Linked DNA regions of Lonchura striata. The protein of the gene in region 3 interacts with the protein of the main gene of each other region in a pairwise test. Links are inferred from orthologs where the notes say so. Each region holds a gene or a part of one and is shown on either strand. Other genes may lie near its edges.

Region 1 (7,143 bases), on a different chromosome or scaffold from region 3:
CACTCAAGATGTGTGTTTGGAAGGTAACTTTTCGCGACATTTTGAAAAATCACGTGTGCAAAATTGGAGGTCTGCAAAGTGCTAGCTGAAGACGGAACTTCTTGAAAGGATGACATGGTTATCTGTAACAAAATTGTAGAAGTTGTTACCTGAACATAGTGGAAAAACAAGTGAAGTTACAAAAATTAATCTAGTAGAAATATGTACGACAGAAAAGCCTAATAATTAGTTGCCCTGCTCTGAAAACAGAGAGCCATAGACTAAATTCACTGCCTCAGCATCTCTCCAAAACAACCACCTCGCAGAATAAAAAGAGCAGTCATTTCAGCAGTGACATCAAGATGAAGAGAAAGCATTGCTTAGTTGAATGTCCCTAGTATATCTCAGTGTCAGAAAGGGGAAAATAAAAGCAGTGGTGTGAAAACAAAGCAGGGTTCTAATTTAATGAAAGATTCTTAATGGTCTAGACGTGCTATAGAAGGAGATTCTGTAGTTTCACCACTTCAAACTTTTCTCAAATCTGTACTGCTCAGTGCTTTTCACAGCATTTTTACACATTAAGTTTTTCCTCCCCTCTCAGTAAAAGCATCAGAGTTCCATTTCAAGACTTTTTTTTAAAAAATAAGAAAGTTTATGTAAATAGGAGGGTTTGTTTGGGCTGGCTTTTCTCTCGCCTGCCCCCGTTTAGCAGTCTATGGACATCTTTTACTATTCTCACTGTAACACATACTTCGTGTTTAGCTTCATTACCATAAACAATGGCCTGCATTGATAGCAGGAACATTGAGGTATGCGCGAAGTTGAAGGGAGTAACACTAATCAGTTGGACTGCAAAAGCTTTTGTTCTTTCCATTTACCACCTCATTCAGGATACATAGTGCTACAACTACAGTAACACAAGATGCTTCACAAGCAGAAGAAGAACATCCCTTCCTCAGATTCGGCAATATCTACCAAAAATAGAATAATATGCAACTGAAAAGTTTCAAATGTCTGACTCCATTATATAATCAACAGTTTGTCAAAACATTTGATATTAGGAGGATTAGGGCCTTATGTAGCTGACATTTCTGGAAAGATGAGCTACCCTGTTCTTGCAATTGCTGTTGAAAGTAATTTTATACCAACCAAGCACATTCACAGCTTGAAAGAGGTTACTGCCAAGCGTGTGACATAATATGCTACTTTCATTGAAGATACATATAGAAACCAAAACCAAAAGGAGACAGGCTACTGCAAGCCTCAAGTAGTTCAAATATGAAAAGGTGTTTGCATACCTCCTATAGCCTTTTAAAATTTCACCAGTTAAAAAATAAGTAGCAAAGACCTTGTGCTTTCTGAAACAAACTGCACTCTGAAGTAAACACGTATCCATCACCCAAAACAACGAAAAGGTAAATACAAAAGGTTTTTTTTAGTTTTAAGCCATCAAAATTTTAAGCTTATTATTGCACAATTTAGAGTAACACATGAGGTACATAGGGGCGGGCAGCCACATTATTTCAATGTATCAGATGTTAAATAAAAAAACAGTCTTGTATACTGACCAACACGGGGTACAAGATAAAACACAAAGCTTGTGAAGATGAATAGATGTAGAAGAAAAACAAGGAACTTCCACAAGCAGGAAACTGAGTAAAGATCAAAATACAGTTTTCTAGAGACAACAGGGTACACAATAAATCCTATCAGTTATGTAGCTTCATAGTCCAGAATAGGAAATATTACAGCACAGTAAAATCCTGAAAACTCCCACACATCTCAAAACAGAGAATAACATTTTCAATTTCAGTCTGAACTACAAATGGTATGCATCAGCACTATCTATGGCTCTAAAAGAAAAACCTTAGTTATTTTCAATTGCAACAAATTCATTCATTTTTAGTAATTCGGTAACTTACCAAAATAACACTGACATTTTCATTAGGTAGAATAAGTACAAAAAAGAGTAAACAGTATTAATAATAAAACCAATTGATTTTTCAGTAAATCTGTCTTTAAAATTGTATAGCTCAGCCTAAGCACATATTAAAAAAACTAAATTTAAAAAAAAAAAAAATTAAAAAAAAATAAAAACAAAAAACACCCAACCCCAACCAGAAGGAAAAAAAATTATCTGTTTCTGCACATTGTCAGCTGCTCAGCTGTGGCAGCTGAGCAGTAGCCCTAGAGGAACCAGTAAAGGCAAGACTGGTTTCCAACCCTAAAGCAGAACTGCTCACAAATCTAACTTGTGCAGACCAGCACAATCATCTGGGATTACTGTTGCCTAGCAGGAAAATCCCCGGGGCTTAGGTGATGGTCAGATCTACTTACAGTTCAAGGATAGTTATGGGGATGCTGGGTACTTGCTTGCTTAACTCACAGCTACCGGCTAGGCAACGGGAGAGGAGGAGGAAGAGCTACGCACAGGCTTCATTACCGACGTGACAAGCGCTTCCCACGGGAAGGCTAAACGACGCGTTTGGCTTTGCGCAGCGGAAAGGACGGTGAAAGGGAGGAAAAGCTCGTCGAGCAGGAAAAACAAAAGCAGGACGAGCCGCGCCAGCACAGACAGCTCCTCCCGGAGTCCTCCAGCTGCGGTCCCGGGCCCCCGACACCCCCGGTCCCCACCCGCCCCTTCCCCGCCGCTGCTCCGCCACCTGCCCGACGCGGTCACCTTGGCTCCGGGCCTCCTTCTTCCCCCGCGGGCCGGGGAGCCCCGCCGGCTCCCGCAGCCCGGCCCCGCCGCTCCCCTACCGACACGGCCGGCCCGAACAGCTAGCGGGGGCCGGTGGCGCAGAGCCGCGGCCGCACGGCCCGGCCGCACGGCCCGGCCCAGAAGCGGCCGGAGGCCGGCGGGAAAGAGCGTGTCAGCCCTGCCCGGACCCGCAGCCGGCCACGGACAGCTCTTACCTAGGCAGACGCGGAGGGCACCGGGGACATCAACATGGGGCCTCGGCCACCAGCGCCGCGCAGCTCCGCCCGTCCGCCCGCGTCACTTCCAGCCCGGCCCTGCCCGCACGGGGCGGGCCCGACACGGATCCGGTTGGGCACCGGGGAGCCGCCCGGTGGTCTCCGCTTCCCACGGGCCGGGGGCGCGGCTCGGGGCTGCGGGCACAGTGCTGTGCGCGGCGTGTGCCCGACCGGGCTGCCCTCACCTCCGTACAGCGCTCCCACGGTGCCCGCCCGCCTTGTCCGTGGTTACAACATCACCTCTGTCGCACCCACTTACCCGAATTAATCGTCTCCTCTTCCGTCCCACGTCAGGACACGGGCGTGCCGCCACCCTGTAGATCACCGTTAATCTGCCAGCCTTGCAGGTCTTCCCGGGGCAACGGAGGGGTGAGATAGGAGTGGCTGTAAAGGGTTCTGCCTGGGTACCTTGGCGGATCGCCATGGTAGGGCGTTACATCACACACAACGCTGACTCGGAGAACCAGGGAAGCACAGAATTCCAACCTAATTCGTTAAGGTTGGAAAGTACCTTTCAGCTCATTGCGTTCAACCTTTGACCAATTATCACTTTGTTAGCTAGACCGTGGCGCTAAATGGCGCGTTGTTTCTTGAACACCGCTAGGAGATTGTGACTCCACCACCATAACCACTAGTTGCCACAAGTTTATACAGGATTAATACCTTTTACCACATCTGATAGTTTTAAAACAATCTGGATTTAAACGGTTTGGGCATTAAGGCTTTTCTGACTATGCTCGCAACTATTTCACAGGGTCCTCTCCATTTTCATTAAAAAGCAGCTCGTAGAGCACTGACCAGAGTCACGGTGTTGACCAGTGCACCCAGTGTTCGTTGCCACTACAAACTGTCTTCAAGATCATCTTAAATTCTTTGCTGCTACCATTTCTTACGTGTTTTCATGTGTATTTAAAACAAACAGTTTATGTGGAGAGACATAGTGTTATTACAAATAATATGATTAATAATTTGAATTATTGAGTTAGGTTTCTGTTTCAAGTTCACCTGTTTTTTCATGTTCAATCCTAACAGAAATGAAACTAAGCTGGAGCATAGAAAGTGTATTTAAGTAATTATGGTAATTCATTGTACTTGCATTTTTGTTTCTGAAAACAGTCTTGTGTCTTAAGGTGTGTCACAGATTACTAGATTATCTTTTGATTTGTAGCCACAATGAATAATCTCTTATATCATCCATACATTCCATGTTTCCCTGGAAACCAATAAATTCCCTGCATAGTACTAACTGATCATTTTAGAAGACACGAGAAGTGTATGTAGAGCAATCTGTCATGTAAGACCAGATGAACTTTTATAGTGGAAAATGAGACCAGTATTTTGTTCAGCAATAAATATTTGTAAGGAGGTAGAAAGGGCTGTTCCTTCTTATCTCAGCCATCCATTTCTTCTCCTTGCTGCACTTTGCTCTGTATGATGTGATAAAGAGCTGTCTAATAGTCACAAGACACTCACTGTTCTCTGTTCTCGTGTGGGCTGGAACTTAGGAAGAACTCAGGGTTTACAGTCACCAGCTGGGGAATGTCAGCGTTGGTAAAGACAAAGTAGTTTTGCTTTCATTTAAAGCCATTGTAATGCAGGTTTGTGGGAATATGATGAGAAATTTGAAATAAATATTTTCTTTTGCAGCTAACAAAATCTTTATACATGAATGCCTGGAAAAACAAACAACCCACTTCTGTTTCCTAATTTTTTTAAAAAATACTTCTCAGTTCTGAGTTTTTTAAGAAACTTGAGATATTTCCATGTTCACTTAATAAATGTTCATTCAGTCAATAAAGGCAGTTATGGTTTACTCATAATTCGGTATTCAGTTATTATTTCTATTGCTTAATGCATATGGAAAAGGTAAAAAAACCTACTGAAATGCTGACATTAACATGAAAAGTGTATATATAACAATAGGACAAATAAATTGAGAATTATCTTGCCTTTTCTTGTACCTATATCCATAATTTTCAGGAAAATTTAAATTTCTAAACTTGCCATATTAACCTCATAATTCAGTATTTTTAAACTTCTAAACTTGTCTTCTTAACCACATAATGGTGGTTATATATAAAATATAAAACCATTTCTGACTAAAATAAATGTGTGGTTTAATGTGTTCTCATGTATGCTTTTACATGCTAGATTTAGATGCCAATCCTACCCCTCTAGAATTTATAGATATTTACAGAAAAATGCTGGAGAGCCTCTTCTAATTTTATTGCCATGTCAAGAAATTAAATACTTGACCAAAATGGACAAGTGGTGCACAGAGATCCCAGAATCAATAATAAATGTCCTTGTACATAGATCTGAATAAAGAAAAATGTGACTGGAACCAGTGATACTTGCACTTGGCTGAGAATTAATGATTGACCACCTTGATAAGTCTGATTTGCTAGACAGATACTATGTCCTGAAATTAATCCATGTGATATAAATCTTTCAGGAAACCTGCTCTTGAGCAGAAAGAAAACAAACAAAGAAAGAAACAAAACAAACAACCCAAACAAAACAAAAAACCCCTCCAATACTACTTTTCTATCCTTACTTACATTTCTGCAAAATATTTAAAACCAAAAAAAAGTTTGATATCAGCATTTCTAACAGAATCTTACTCTTTTGAGATTCTTTTAACACTAACACACTAATTAGAAAAGCTTATTACAGGGATGGTGACAATAATCTCATCTCCTTCTGGCTTGGTTTTCAGCTTTCCAATCCCTGATTTCAGTAACAGGAAACTGGTTTTGTTCAAGCCAGTACTTTACCACAAATGGTACAGTTTTTATGTGCAGTTTTCATGTGCAGGATGTACTTTAAACACATAATATCAATGTTTAGGCAGTATTTATGCATATTTAAAAGAAAAACAAACTGGGAATGTCAAGTATTTTTTAATTATACTATATATATATATTTTTATAATTAAAACCATGTTTGTTGGAAGGGATGTCCAGAGCAGCTTGAAGGAGCATGTTGATCAGGGCTGTACCTAGTCCCATTTCAAATGTCTCCACGGATGGAGACATTCCATGTCATCTAAAGAACCTCTTTCAGTGATTGAAAACACTAATTGTAAAAATGTTTCTTTGTATCAATTTCCCATGTTCCAGTTTTGTCTCTTGTCTTGTTTTTTCACTGTGGACCTCTGGAGAAAATTCTGTTCCATCTTTTCTACACCCTTTGCTTAGCTGGTTGTCGATAGCAATAGGCCCACCTCTTCTACAGGCTGAAAAAAATCCCTGCTCTCTCTCTTTTTGTGTTTATATGCACAATCTCCAAGCAATATATGTCAAATACATTTCACCAGGGTATTGACGTGGAAATAAAAAGCTGGCAAATAAAAATTGTGGTTGTGATAGAAATATTAAATAAAGTTAAAAGCGTGTGTGAATTCAGAATTCAGTAACTGGATTTGAACATCACTAGATTCCAAATAAGTTTGAAATTTGGTTTGGGATGCAAAAATTTCCCTGCTTTGTAATTATACTGAGACATTGCTAGGATGAGACTAGTCCCTCCTCAGGCATGAGATGAATGAGGAATAAAAACATGCAGTTAACCAGAATTGCCAAAGGAAACGGAGCAATTACAGACTCCTAGGGAACAGAGTTTGGGGTGCTTGCAAAACATTGTTTTTATAACTACACTATCTTCTTCAACCTCTGAGCCCCAGTAATTTAGAGCCTTGAAATTAAAAATGGATCCCTGTCACATCTGTTTAACCTTGGATAGATGTGAACTTTTATTCAATCCAGAGCCTAACATTTTTTTTCTTTCATTTGTTTACTTTATGTATTACTGTAGTCTGAACCAAACCCATGATGAGTTTTTGAACCATCCCTGAATTCCTCCCCTCTGAGGCCCATCTTTGTTTTGTGTGAGTGACAGAAAAATTATATATTTCTAGGTTTTATTACCAGGGAGAGGTACTTGATGTTGTGGATATTCAGTCTATTGGCATGACATGATGATATTGATGAAGTGTGGTAAGGAAATGCTTCAGTTCTGATGATTTGATTTCATTTTGGTTTGACTCCTATTTCAACACTTCCAAGTTTTAAAAGTGTGGGTCATGTGAGATGTAAAATATATATACTGATGTCACTAATCGGAAGCTCTTTCTGGTCATGCTGTAAAGCACACTTAATCAACTTCTTTAAGATCATGTTACAGAAA
Region 2 (6,996 bases), on a different chromosome or scaffold from region 3:
TAGTTCCTGTCTCCAAGATCATCTTTCAAACACAGAAAAAGGTTTTTCTGGATATGCAACAGGCTGTGCTGCATTTCCACTGGGTGGCACGGCTGCCTCGGCAGAGAGGTTCCTTTGTCACTCTGACATGACTAATTCCTACCAGCATCACCTCATCCACAACAGGATTTCTGCCCACATAAGTGTAACTACCCAACATAGCACCCGGAGAAAATGGAAGAGACACCAAGTCTTTGACGGCTTCTAAATGTTTTCTAAAATATGCAAATTCCTGCAGCTTCAGGCGTTAAATATCAACACTTCAGAGTCGGCCTTTAGAGAATCCCAGAAGCGTTTGGGTTGGAAGGGACATTAAAACTCCCCTTGTTCCACCCCCTGCCATGGCAGGGACACCTTCCTCCACAAGACCAGGTTGGTCCAAGGCCAATCCACTTCCAGGGATGCAGGGACAGCCACAGGTGCTCTGGGCACCCTGTGCCAGGTCCTCACCACCCTCACAGGAGAGAATTCCCAATTCCCAATCTCCCACCCATCCCTGCCCTCTGGCAGTGGGAGCCATTCCCTGTGTCCTGTCCCTCCATCCCTTGTCCCCAGTCCCTCTCCAGCTCTCCTGGAGCCCCTTCAGGCCCTGCAAGGAGCTCTGAGCTCTCCCTGGAGCTTCTCCTCTCCAGGTGAGCACTCCCAGCTCTCCCAGCCTGCCTCCAGCCATTGGAGCATCTCCATGATTTCCTCTGGATTTGCTCCAGCAGCTCCACCTCCTCCTGATTTTGGGGGCCCCAGAGCTGGACACAACACTCCAGTGGGGTCTGAGGAAACTGGAGCAGAGGTGCAGATTTCTCCCATCTCCTGGGATCCAGGGGCCTCCCCACCCCCACAGAGCAGAATTCCTTCCTAATATCCCATCCATCCCTGCCCTCTGGCAGTGGGAAGCCATTCCCCCCTGCCCTGTCACTCCATGCTCTTAAACAGCCCCTCTCCATCTTTCTTGCAGACTTTATTCAGGTCCTGGAAGGCCACAATTAGATCACCCCAAAGCCTTCTCTTCTCCAGGATGAACCATCCCAGCTCTCCCAGCCTTTCCTCAATTATCTTGGTGGCCTCCTCTGGCCCTTTCCCCATCCTTAAAGCCTCCCCAGTGCTCACATACCATAAAATAATTTGGTGTGCCCTGGGTGTTAATCCATGGGGAAAATAAAGTTAATTGACAAACTAAACCAACAGCTAATCATCAGTGGCTAGGAGAAGTTTGGATATTTCTGCCCCTTTCCCTGTTTGTTAAAAATGAAAAAATGACAAAAGTCAGTTTCCAGATTTTCAGGACAGATGCCTTCAAGACTGACAACCAAATGGTGGCATTTGCTATAAACTGTCAACTACCAAAAAGAAAATAATTCTTCAAAATAGAGGACCTGGCAGTTTCCAGGACCTGTAAAACACAAAGCCATAAGGATCTGTGATCTGTGCCAGCTCTTCACCCTCACCAGGCCGTTCAGTTCCACAGCTGGTCCCCAAACCCAGCAGATGCCCAGCTGGGCAGACAGGGAGCACAGGGAGGTGCCCAGTTTGTGTGCCAGCTGTGACACCAAGTCAGGGCACAGCAAAGAGAATCCCCGGCCACTGATCCCTCCTGTCCACAGCACCCAGCCCTGGGAATCCTGGAAAAGATCTGTTGGTCCAGCAGCCTGCAATGATTAAAACTGATCTTTCAGAGTTGCCTCTAAATTATATTGAGAGCTACAGAGCCTCACATCACAGAATCCTAGGGGGGTTTGGGGTGGAAGGGACTGAAAGCTCATCCCATCCCACCTGTGCCATGGCAGGGAGACCTTCCACCATCCCAGGCTGCTCCAGGCCCTGTCCAACCTGGCCTGGAACACTTCCAGGGATTCAGGGGCAGCCTCTGTTCTCGTCTCAAGCATTATCAGCTCAATTATTGTAATTGTTTTGGGTGAAATGAAAACCCTGACTCTTGAGGAGTGACTGTCAAACAGCTTCACTGCAGGTTTGTGGTGTCACCCCCTAAAAAAACACCAAACCCACGAGTCCCACTCCATCCTGACACACAAACCCAGACACCTTCCTGCTCCTCGGCAGAGGCTCTTTCCCAGAAAAAAAAAAAAAAAAACCCACTTTTCAGGCTTTACACCTGGCACCTTTCTTCAACTGGCACTGTTCAAACGCACTTGGATGAACTTAAGCTTCGAGAATATCCCAAATGCTTCCCAGGGCTGGCCTGGGATATTCACCACGAATTTTTCTTTCAGCCCCTGATCCCCACAGCTCCCGGGAAGGGCAGTTTCAGGGTGTGTCATTTTGGTTTCAAAAACACAAAGCAGCCACTTTTGTTCTGACACCACTGGCAATAAGGCTGAGTACCAGATCGCCACCGTTCTCCACGGAAATTCACCTGGAAACAAGTTTTCCATCAGGAACAGAACCTGTCAGGTGCTGGCCCTCCCCTGTGCATCAGCTGCCTTAAAAACACGTTAAAATGTGATAAACCAACTTCTCACCAACTCCGAAAAAGCGCCTTTCCCCAACCCTTCTTTAGGGAGGCTTTAAGTCGAAGTCACTTATATGCAATCCACGCTCATTGATGCGCTCATTAATAAATTACGGCCGCACAGCGCAAAAAGAATAATAAAAAAAAAAATTAAAGAAAAAAACAACAAATATTTAACCCAGCCAAGACAGCGCCGCCACGGAGCCGCCAGGCCCCGCCACCAGCGACCCCCGGTGCTCGGCAGGAGGAACCAGCACCGCCCGCCCCCCCGCAGGCGGGGCGGCACCTCCGGGATGTCTGAGGCCCCGCGGCCGCGGCCCCCCTCCTTCCTCCCGCGCTCCCCGCGGCGGAGCGGGGCCCGTGCCGGCGGCGGGGCCGGGTGCCGGTACCTGTGCGGGGAGAGCCGGAGCAGGCCCGGAGCGACGCGGCGGCCGCAGCTGCACCGCCACAGCGACGGCGCACCGGAAGCGGAACTGCGTCACGGCGGCCGCGCCCCACGCCGCCCCCACCCCCTCGCGCCGCCGCCGCCGCCGCCGCACCGGAGGGGCGCGCGCTCGGCCACGCCCCCTCCGCGGCCGCCGCGTCACCGGCACCGCCCACCGGCGGCGCGGCCACGCCCACCCACCCGTGGCCACGCCCCCACAGGGTCACCGCCCACAAAATCTGCATAATAGGCCACGCCCATCAATGGTGAGGCCACGCCCCTCGCTGATTTAATAACCGCGCGGGCTGAGCGGGGTCACGTGACAGCGAGCGCGGCCCGCCCTTGCCCCCCCGCGGTCACGTGACGCCTCCGCTGAGGGGCGGGCGCGGCTTCTGAGGGGACCTGGTTTGGAGGACGGGAGCTGCTCTAAAACAGCATTTCACCACCGTTTTCACCACTTTAATTTAAAAAATATGTAAACTTGTATCTTAATTTGTCGCCCCCCCCTTCGCTGGTGAATCAAAATCTGCGCCGTGCAGTTCAAGACCTGCAGGATAAACCTGCAGAGCAAAGTACGCCCTTTCTGTCCCTTCAACGAGGGACACAACCATTTTCACCACTTTAATAAAAAAAAATATAAACTTGTGCCTTGATTTGTCGCCCCCCCTCGTCCGTCAATCAAAATCTGCGCCGTGCAGTTCAAGACCTGTAGCAGAGACAAAGCAAAGTTCTTACTATCTGTCCCTTCAACGGGGAAAAAAATAAAAATATTTTCAGTGTAAAAAAAATTATCACTTTAACTAGACAGAAATTAAAATGTTATTTCTATGTGCAAGGTAAATCGCCATTGGTGGTCCCAGAAAAAGCTCCAAAAGCATTGATTTGTTTACATCTACAGCTGCCAGGACAAACACTTCAGCAGAAGCTGCGCAACTCTTAACAGTGTAATTAACAATCATATAAACAGTGTCATTAATAATCATACAAACAGCAGTTTCTGATGGATCTATATGATTGCTGAAAATCCAATTCTGATTTTCTTCTCGCCCAACAGGAACGACTGAAGGCGATCCCGACAGCTCCAAAATTTCCACCACGCTCCCGAGACATCTGTCAGCGTTGTGGCCATGACCACTGGCTGGGATTTCACCTCATCTTACGCAAAATATCACGGAATTTTCACTTTTAAGGTATCCCAAATCATCCAATTTTCACCTTTCAACCCTAAAGCTGCGCCTGAAATCTGCCTTTTCCCTTTGCCCTCTCCCTGTGTGCCCCCGTGTCCGCAGCCCCTGTGGCGGGGCGCAAGCACACGGTGTGGTTCCCTGCCCTGCCCTTCCCAGCTATGGCACTAATCCCGAGCCTTTCCAAGCCCGGAGAATTCCGTTAAACTCAGCAGAAACGCGGGCACGGGCGATGCCCAGCACATGCCGACCCGGCCGCTGGCACCCTTCCCTTGGGAGTGAGCATCTGTTTGTGCTTTTCAAGGTCATTATTCGACCCTTTCTGAAGTAACAGGGAAAATTCAGCGGCAGGAGCAGGAGCGGGGCGCTGGCAGCCCAGAAATCTTCCCAGGATAGTGAGCAGCAGGGAGAGGGGGGGAATTTGCCCCTCTGCTCCAGTTTCCTCAGACCCCACTGGAGTTTTGTGTCCAGCTCTGGGGCCCCCAAAATCAGGAGGAGGTGGAGCTGCTGGAGCAAATCCAGAGGAAATCATGGAGATGCTCCAATGGCTGGAGGCAGGCTGGGAGAGCTGGGAGTGCTCACCTGGAGAGGAGAAGCTCCAGGGAGAGCTCAGAGCTCCTTGCAGGGCCTGAAGGGGCTCCAGGAGAGCTGGAGATTGACTGGGGACAAGGGATGGAGGGACAGGACACAGGGAATGGCTCCCACTGCCAGAGGGCAGGGATGGGTGGGAGATTGGGAAGGAATTCTTGTCTGTGAGGGTGGTGAGGACCTGGCACAGGGTGCCCAGAGAAGCTGTGGCTGCCCCTGGATCCCTGGAAGTGTCCAAGGCCAGGCTGGACAGGGCTTGGAGCAACCTGGGATGGTGGCAGGTGTCCCTGTTCATGTCAGGGGTTGGAACAAGATGGTCTTTAAGGTCCCTTCCAACCCAAACCATTCTGAAATTCTGTGGTAGCTGTAAAAGGCATGAAACTGCAACGTTTTTACTGACTAATTTTCATAAATAATTACCACCAAAACTAAGTGGGCATTTGCTATAGACCCCATTCCATAAGGATGTGACAGCGTGTCCTCTGAATTGAAACAAAAGCCAGGGGAATTTTGGGCTGACTTCACAGCTCTTTCACAATTGCCTTTCCTAGTCCAGCGATCTCTGGGAGTTCCCGTAGGAGCAGCCCTTTCGGTGTGGCCTCCTTGGAAGAAATGAGCAAATAGGAATGAAAGCAATCCTCCTCCCAGCTGTGTTCAGGGCACCTTTGCTTTTCCACGCTTGAAAGGGCAGCGCTGTGGGCAGCTGCTGCCGTGTCCTGGGCTGCCAGTGGTGACAGCAGGAGTCCCCAGAGCTTGACGTTTTTTCCTGAGCAATCTGGTAGTTAGAAACCCTAATTAATGAGCAAACATGCAGCTGACAACAGTGGTGATGTCTCACTTTAAATATCAGTCTGGGACTGCAAAAGCACTTTTAATCAATAATCTCACCAACCTCACCGAGCTGCACAATAGGATCACACAATGTGTAGAAGTAGAAAAGGATGATGAATTTTTGAACTTTTTCTCCCCCACCTTGGGCAAATGCAGCTTTTCAGCTGCATGTGTGTATCTGCTGAAGACTGTAAAATGAATCCCAAAATGGTTTGGGTTGGGAGGGACCTTAAAACTCATCTTGTTCCAAGCCCATGCCATGGGAAGGGACTCCTTCCACTAGACCAGGTTGCTCCAAGCCCTGTTCAGCCTGGCCTGGAACACTGCCAGGAATGAGACAACCACAGCTTCTATGGGCAGCCTGTGCCAGTGTGGAATTTACATTCAATTGATTCATCTTAGTGCCAGGAATAGGTCTTGGGAAAGGCTAACACCGAGCCCTGCCTACATCCTATTGGAAGATGTTTGCACTTTGCACACTAAAATATGTAATGAAAGAAAAGCTGGGGTGAAATGGTGAATTTAAATTATTCAGAAAGGCTGTTTGGTGTAATGATGTGAGGGCAGTTCCTCAGTACAAGCCTGCATTGCAGGGCCTGCACCCTGCCTGTGTGCTACAAGTGTTGGCCTCTCTGTTTTTAGCTCAGCTTCATGTAAATATTTGGGTTGGAAGGAAGCTCTGGTCTAACCTCTGTCTCAAAACAGGAATAGCTGTGAACCTTGTCTGCCTGAGTCCTGAGTGTCTCCAAAGTCGGAGATTGCTCAACCTCTCTGGATGTTGCATCCCTAAAAACAGCCCCTGTGAGTGTTGCCATTATTCCCTGCATCCCTCAGACTTTCCCTTGCTGGAATTGTGGCTTGTCCTCCTGCCATGTACCTCTGCCCACTCAGTACCACCCGCCTGGATGGCTGGAGGCTGCCGTGAGCTCCTTCCTACCCTCAAAAATACAATTTCCACAGCCTTTCTTCATGCTCTGGCCCCCAGCTGTGCCAGTGGCCCCTGCTGAACTCCCTCCGGTTTCAGCATCTCTCTTGTCTTTCAGTGACAAAATTGGGCATAATTGCCTGCCTCAGCCTTTGTTTTGGGGTAAAAGACCAACAGACAATACTTAAATTGTCCGATTCAGTACTTTTCAGGGACAATAGCACAGATCTTGAGTTGTGACAGGCATCGGAGCCAAGGGAACTTTATCACACCCGGAGGGCTGTTCATGCCATGAACAGTAAATTCAAAGGAACAATAACAATATCTTTGTTGTACCTCCCTTTTACATCAGCCAGTCAGGAGGAACAGCACACAGTGGAGGCATCATTTTGCTATCCAACTCAGAAAAAAAAAGGTGTTTTTTTTTAAATCAAGTTTAAAATTCTGGAATGTAATGGCAGCTTTCATTAAGAAAATGCCAGTTTCTTGTTGATGGGCTGGAACAGTGAGATATAAGATATTAATCTTTAGTTCCAGTTTT
Region 3 (6,939 bases):
GCTGCCACCTGAGGGACACCTGTCACCTGTGCTGTCACCTGTGCTGTCACCTGGGGGACACCTGTCCCTGTGCTGCCACCTGAGGGACACCTGTCACCTGTGCTGTCACCTGGGGGACACCTGTCCCTGTGCTGTCACCTGAGGGACACCTGTCACCTGTGCTGTCACCTGTGCTGTCACCTGGGGGACACCTGTCCCTGTGCTGTCACCTGAGGGACACCTGTCACCTGTGCTGTCCCCTGTGCTGTCACCTGGGGCACACGCTGTCCCCAAGCTACCAAAGAGAATTCCAGGGCAGCAGGAACCTCTCAGGCTGCAGGGAAGGGCAGCCAAGGGGGGCTGGGGAAGCAGGGCCAGGTGAGGGGACAGGTGAGCAGGAGACAGGTGAGCAGGGCCAGGTGAGCAGGGCCAGGTGAGCAGGCACAGGTGAGCAGGCACAGGTGAGATGGGACAGGTGAGCAGGCACAGGTGAGAAGGGGACAGGTGAGCAGGCACAGGTGAGATGGGACAGGTGAGCAGGCACAGGTGAGCAGCCCCAGGTGAGCAGGAGCTCGCAGCAGTGCCAGGCCCAGGTGTGGGGACAGGTGAGGTCAGGTGGCCAAGGCCCCCCTTGTCCCGCTGCCCCCAGGCCAGGTTTGGGCAGCGGCAGCCACGCCCAGCCCGGCCGTGACCCTGAACCAGCGGTGACCCCAAAGCCCACCTGGCAGTGCCCTAGGCCAGGTGGGATGGGGCTGGGACTCACCTGGGCCAGGGCCAGGTGATCTCCTGGTCCCCCCACCCAAATCCCCCCGTTCTGTGGCTCCACCTGTGCTGGATGCTGGCAGTGCCACCCGTCCCAAACCTCACCCATCCCAAATCTGCAGTGCCACCCTTCCCAAACCTCCCCACCCATCCCAAATCCGCAGTGCCACCCATCCCAAACCTCCCCACCCATCCCAAATCCACAGTGCCACCCGTCCCAAACCTCCCCACCCATCCCAAATCCACAGTGCCACCCGTCCCAAACCTCACCCATCCCAAATCCGCAGTGCCACCCATCCCAGACCTCCTCCCCCATCCCAAATCCGCAGTGCCACCCGTCCCAAACCTCCCCACCCATCCCGCACACACAGATCCCCGGCACTCACCGGGATGCTGGCAGTGCCGCCCGTGCCCAGCCTGGCGGCGGTGTCGAAGCCGCCGTCCAGCAGCAGGGTGGAGCCCGGTGGGTACAGCTGTCCCAGGGGGAAATAGGCCACGGGGGAGCCCAGAGCCCCCACGGGCGGCGGCGGCGCCAGGGGCAGGTACAGGGACACCCCTGGGTACGCTGGGGACACGGGGGGGACGCCAGCGGCGCCCAGGGGCACGAAGCTGAGGCGGTAGAGCTGGAAGAGCACCGGGTCGGCCGGGTCAGGCAGGTGCCATCCCCCAGCCAGGTGCGCATCCAGCACCCGCGGGGACCTCACCTGCCTGCGGGAGCGGGAGGCACCCGGAATTCACCCCGGCCTTTAAAGGGGCGCTTTGGGTCACTGGGTCCCTGTCCAAGGGGAGCTCCGGGCTCCCCTGGGCCACGGACGGCTCCCAGGTAAATGCCCCAGGTGTGCCCCACCTACCTCGGGGTACGCAGGAGCGGGGTCCAGGTAGGGGGGCGGCTGCGGCAGGGGCAGGGCCTGGGGGTACCCGGGGGGGGCCGGCCCGGGGAACAAGGGCTGGCCTGGGAAGGGCCCTGGGGAGAGAACCGGGTCAGGAGAGCCGGGAGCCAGGGCGGGGGCTCGGGCATCGCCCCGCGCCCCCCGGCAGATCAGCCCGGCCTCAGTGTCCCCCAGCGATGGCAGCCCCTCCTCCCGTCACGGCATGGCCTCGCTCCCCCCAGGGCTCCAGACCCCCCTCCCAAATATCCCCAAATCCTCAACTCCCCCGTGCCCCCTCCCACGATAGCCCCCCAAAACCTCACACCCCCCCCCGTGCCCCTCCCATGGTATCCCCCCAAAGTCACACCCCCCCGTGCCCCCCCATGGTATCTCCCCAAACCCCCCCGTGCCCCCCCATGGTATCCTCCCCAACACCCCCGTGCCCCCCCATGGTATCACCCCCCCAACCCCCCCGTGCCCCCCCCATGGTATCCTCCCCAACCCCCCCGTGCCCCCCCCATGGTATCACCCCCCCCAACCCCCCCGTGCCCCCCCATGGTATCACCCCTCCCACACTCCCCCGTGCCCTCCCATGGTATCTCCCCCAACCCCCCCGTGCCCCCCCATGGTATCACCCCCCCCAACCCCCCCGTGCCCCTCCCATGGTATCTCCCCCAACCCCCCCGTGCCCCCCCATGGTATCCTCCCCAACCCCCCCGTGCCCCTCCCATGGTATCTCCCCCAACCCCCCCGTGCCCCCCCATGGTATCCTCCCCAACTCCCCCGTGCCCCCCCCATGGTATCACCCCCCCCAACCCCCCCGTGCCCCCCCATGGTATCTCCCCCAACCCCCCCGTGCCCCCCCATGGTATCACCCCCCCAACCCCCCCGTGCCCCCCCATGGTATCCTCCCCAACCCCCCCGTGCCCCTCCCATGGTATCTCCCCCAACCCCCCCGTGCCCCCCCTTGGTATCACCCCCAACCCCCCCGTGCCCCCCCATGGTATCACCCCCCCAACCCCCCCGTGCCCCCCCATGGTATCACCCCCCCAACCCCCCCGTGCCCCCCCATGGTATCTCCCCCCCCAACCCCCCCGTGCCCCCCCATCCCCCCCGTGCCCCCCCTTGGTATCTCCCCCAGCCCCAGCCCCGCCTCCCGGGTGAAAGCGAGGCTCAGCACGCGTCTCCATGGCAACCCCGGGCCCGCCCCGCCCCGCCCGGGCCCCGCCCCCCGCGCCCTTAAAGGCGCCGCGCGGGCGGGGCGGCGCTGCCGGCGGGGCGGGGCTCCGGTCCCGGCCCGCGGCCCCGCCCCGGCCTTGCCTTTGCCGTTCATGGCGGCGGCGGCGCCCGCGGTCACGGCGGGGGCGGCAGCGGGAGCGGCAGGAGGCGGGGGCGGCCCGTGGGGGAGGGTGAGGGACGGGGCAGGAAGCGGGACGGGAAGCGAGCGTCGTGACGTCATCGCGCCGGGGGCGGGGCCACGCGCTCTTAAAGGGGCCGCGGGAAAATGGGGGGGAGGGAGGGGCGGGATGGGGGCGGGGGTCCTAAAGAGGCTCTGGGGTCACTAAACAGGGTCTGGGGGCCCTAAATATATATAAAAATAAATATATTTTATATATACTAAATAAACATATACATAAATATATATATAAATATGTTTATACAGTATACATTTAATATATATTATATTGATATATTGATATAATATACATTGTATATATTATATTAATCTAAAATATATAATATATAATATATCATATATCATATATCATATATCATATATCATATATCATATATCATATATCATATATCATATATCAAAATCATAATCATATATTATATATTATATACATATTACATATATTATGTATATTATATATATTATATTTATTATTTATATTATATATATTATATAATTTGAATTACATATTTAATCTAAACAACATAACATTACAGTTTAATATATAGTGCAGTAAAAATTGATATTTATTACATCTTTATAAAATACCAATAAAACCTTTAGAGATACATCATACATACTAGAATAATATATAAATATAGTCAATAATATTAAAAATACTGATACAATAGTGTAGTGTATAATACGTAGGAATAAGTATTAATAAGGATTAGTAAATAAAACATTCTATTAATTAATATACTGTATTAGTACAAAAACAATATAATTATGCATTCATATATAAATATACAGTATAATATGACTATATGGCCATACATTTTTGTATAAATTCACAATATAGAGCGCAGTGGTACATTAAAAAATCAACAAATACAGATAAAATAAGAGGACATCAAACACGTACCATGTGTATCACGTACGTAGCGCTGCGTGTAAATCATCCAGAAGTCTCGGCGCGGTTCCGGAGCCGCCGGCGCCGGGAAATCGCCCTGCGACGGAGAATTCCCGTCCGGATTGTCCCGCTCCCGCCCGAGCCGGCGCTCATGAATAATGCAGCACTGCTCATACATATGCAAATGAGCCTCCCGGCTGCGCGGGGGTGCGCTCATGAATAATTCATGAGGGGGAACGTTCCTCGCTTTCAGAACGCGCAGAAATGGGAAAAAAAAAAAAAAAAAATCTGATTTTCCTTCAAGGGGACCCGGCCTGGGGAGCCCCGAGCGGCCCCGGGGGCTGCGGCCACGGCCCCGGGACCCCCGGGACCCCCCAAGGACCCCCGAGACCCCCGGGAACCCCCCCAGGACCCCCGGGACCCCCCGGGACCCCCCAAGGACCCCCGAGACCCCCGGGAACCCCCGGGATCCGCCCTGGGACCCCCTCGGAACCCCAGGGAACCCCCGGGACCCCCCCCCGGGATCCGCCCTGGAACCCCCGAGACCCCCGGGACCCCCCCGGGACCCCCCCGGCTCTGCTCGGCTCTGCTCTGCAGACCCCCGGGACCCTCGGACCCTCTTTGGGAACCCCGCTCAGGGACCCCCAAACCCAGTTAGGGACCCCCAAACCCAATTAGAAACACCTAGACCCCGCTTAGGGACCCCCAGACCCCACTTAGGGACCCACAGACACAGTTAGGGACCCCCAGACCCAGTTAGGGACCCCAGACCCATTTAGGGACCCCCAGACCCAGTTAGGGACCCCAGACCCATTTAGGGACCCACAGACCCATTTAAGGACCCCCCCAGACCCGTTTAGGGACCCCGGACACGTTTAAGAACCCCCGGACCCATTTAGGGACCCCCAGACCCGTTTAGGGACCCCCAAACCCATTTAAGAACCCCTAGACCCATTTAGGGACCCCTAAACCCGTTTAAGAACCCCCGGACCCGTTTAGGGGCGCCCCTCCCTCCACCCCCCCCGCCCCCAAGCTCCCCCCCCTCAGCTGAGTCTTTGTTAATTAAAATCCGCCCCCCCACCCGAGCTGTTTTCCTTCCCCGCATGCAAACTATTAGCTATATGCAAATGTATGCAAATGACCGGGGATTTAACTAGCTGTAGGTATTTAACGATTCGTATTAAATATTCATAATCACGGCAGCGCGTATGCAAATGAAGCCGGCAGAACTGGGCCGCGGCCGCCAATAACAGGTGCACCTGGGGTAATTAGAATATTAATGAATATTAATGATTATTAATGAGGAGGGCTCGCTCTGGCTGTGGGGTCATTAATATTCCCCCCAGCCTTGTCCCGTTTGTCCCGCTCCTCGGGGGGGGGCCCGGCACTCCGGGGGTTGGGGGGTTCGGGGGTTGGGGGTCCTGGATTTGGGGGGTCCTGGGTTTGGGATCCGGGGTTTTGGGGTCCTGGGTTGGGGATCCGGGGTTTTGGGGGGTCCTGGATTTGGGATCCGGGGTTTTGGGGTCCTGGATTGGGGATCCGGGGTTTGGGGGGTCCTGGATTGGGGATCCGGGGTTTTGGGGGGTTCCGGCACTTCAGGTCTGGGGTTTGGGGGTTTCTGGGCTGGGAACCTCTGGTGGGGGATCTTGGGGCTGGAGCTGGTTCTGGTGCCGGGGAGGGTCTCTGGTTTTGGGGTTCCAGGGCTAAGGAGGCCTCTGCAGCTCGGGGCTCTCTGGTTTCGGGGGGTTTCTGGTTCTGGGGGTGTCCCTTAGACTCCGGGGGTGTCCCGGGGTGTCCCGGGGTGTCCCGGGGTGTCCCGGGGGTCTCAGGGGTCTCTGTCCAAGGGGTCCCGGCACCTCTATCCCGGGACTCTGTCCCGGGGTTCCTCTCCGGGGTTCCTCTCACGGGGGTGACCGGCTCTCTGTCCCGGGGGTCTCAGGGGTCCCGGTGTCTCTCTCCCGGGGTCCCGGTGTCTCTCTCCCGGGGTCCCGGTGTCTCTCTCCCGGGTCCCGGTGCCTCCCCCGAGGTCCCGGGTCCCGGGTCCCGGTCTCTGTCTCCCAGGGATCCCGGTCTCTCTCTCCCGGGTCCCGGTCTCTCTCCCGGGTCCCGGGTCCCGGTCTCTGTCTCCCGGGGATCCTGGTCTCGGTCCCGGGTCCCGGGTCCCGGTCTCTCTCCCGGGTCCCGGTGCCTCTCCCGGGGTCCCGGGTCCCGGTCTCTCTCTCCCGGGTCCCGGTCTCGGTCCCGGGTCCCGGTCTCGGTCCCGGGTCCCGGGTCCCGGTGCCTCCCCCGGGTCCCGGGTCCCGGTCTCTCTCCCGGGTCCCGGGTCCCGGTCTCTCTCCCGGGGATCCCGGTCTCTCTCCCGGGTCCCGGGTCCCGGTCTCTCTCCCGGGTCCCGGTCTCTCTCCCGGGTCCCGGTCTCGGTCCCGGGGTCCTGGGTCCCGGTCTCTCTCCCGGGTCCCGGTCTCTCTCCCGGGTCCCGGTCTCGGTCCCGGGGTCCCGGGTCCCGGGTCCCGGTCTCTCTCCCGGGTCCCGGTCTCGGTCCCGGTCCCGGGTCCCGGTCTCTCTCTCCCGGGTCCCGGTCTCTCTCCCGTGTCCCGGTCTCTCTCCCGGGTCCCGGTCCCTCTCCCGGGTCCCGGTCCCGGGTCCCGGTCTCTCTCTCCCGGGTCCCGGTCTCTCTCCCGGGTCCCGGTCCCGGGTCCCGGTCCCGGCGCGGCGCCCGCAGCGCCCCCAGCGGCGGCGGGCGGCCCGGGCCCTGCGGCGCGGCCTGCGCATAAATTATGTTCATGACGCAGCAGCCCCGCCGGCCCGGCCGGAGCCCCGAGCCCCCGCCCGGGACCCCCGCGGCACCGAGCCCCCCGTAGCCGCCCCCCGTGGCCGCCCCCGCCGCCGCCCGGGCCGGGCCGCCGGGGCCGCTCCGCCGCCGCCGCCCCCCGCCCCTTTGTGCCGCCGCCGCCGCCGCGTCCGCGGCGATCGCGGGAGCGGCGAGAGCGGCGGGGACCCCCCGGGCCCCCCCGGGGCTC

What was found. The genes of interacting proteins can lie anywhere in the genome.
Region 1: the proteins of DAZAP2 (region 3) and TAX1BP1 interact in binary tests that used the Homo sapiens proteins (3 or more experiments, as listed by UniProt). The two-hybrid records come from large-scale screens. The link is inferred for Lonchura striata from reciprocal best matches to the Homo sapiens genes DAZAP2 and TAX1BP1.
Region 2: the proteins of DAZAP2 (region 3) and MAPK1IP1L interact in binary tests that used the Homo sapiens proteins (3 or more experiments, as listed by UniProt). The link is inferred for Lonchura striata from reciprocal best matches to the Homo sapiens genes DAZAP2 and MAPK1IP1L.

What each region holds. Positions count from the first base shown.
Region 1 is NC_134603.1:123,123,138-123,130,280, forward strand, and holds the start of TAX1BP1 (tax1-binding protein 1), read right to left. Parts: upstream 3,008-7,143; 5' UTR 2,896-3,007; intron 123-2,895; 5' UTR 117-122; coding exon 1-116.
Region 2 is NC_134608.1:3,537,851-3,544,846, reverse strand, and holds the start of MAPK1IP1L (MAPK-interacting and spindle-stabilizing protein-like), read right to left. Parts: upstream 3,008-6,996; 5' UTR 2,893-3,007; intron 1-2,892.
Region 3 is NC_134629.1:5,077,573-5,084,511, forward strand, and holds the start of DAZAP2 (DAZ-associated protein 2), read right to left. Parts: upstream 3,001-6,939; 5' UTR 2,944-3,000; coding exon 2,931-2,943; intron 1,706-2,930; coding exon 1,593-1,705; intron 1,365-1,592; coding exon 1,128-1,364; intron 1-1,127. UniProt on the Homo sapiens protein: In unstressed cells, promotes SIAH1-mediated polyubiquitination and degradation of the serine/threonine-protein kinase HIPK2, probably by acting as a loading factor that potentiates complex formation between HIPK2 and ubiquitin ligase SIAH1.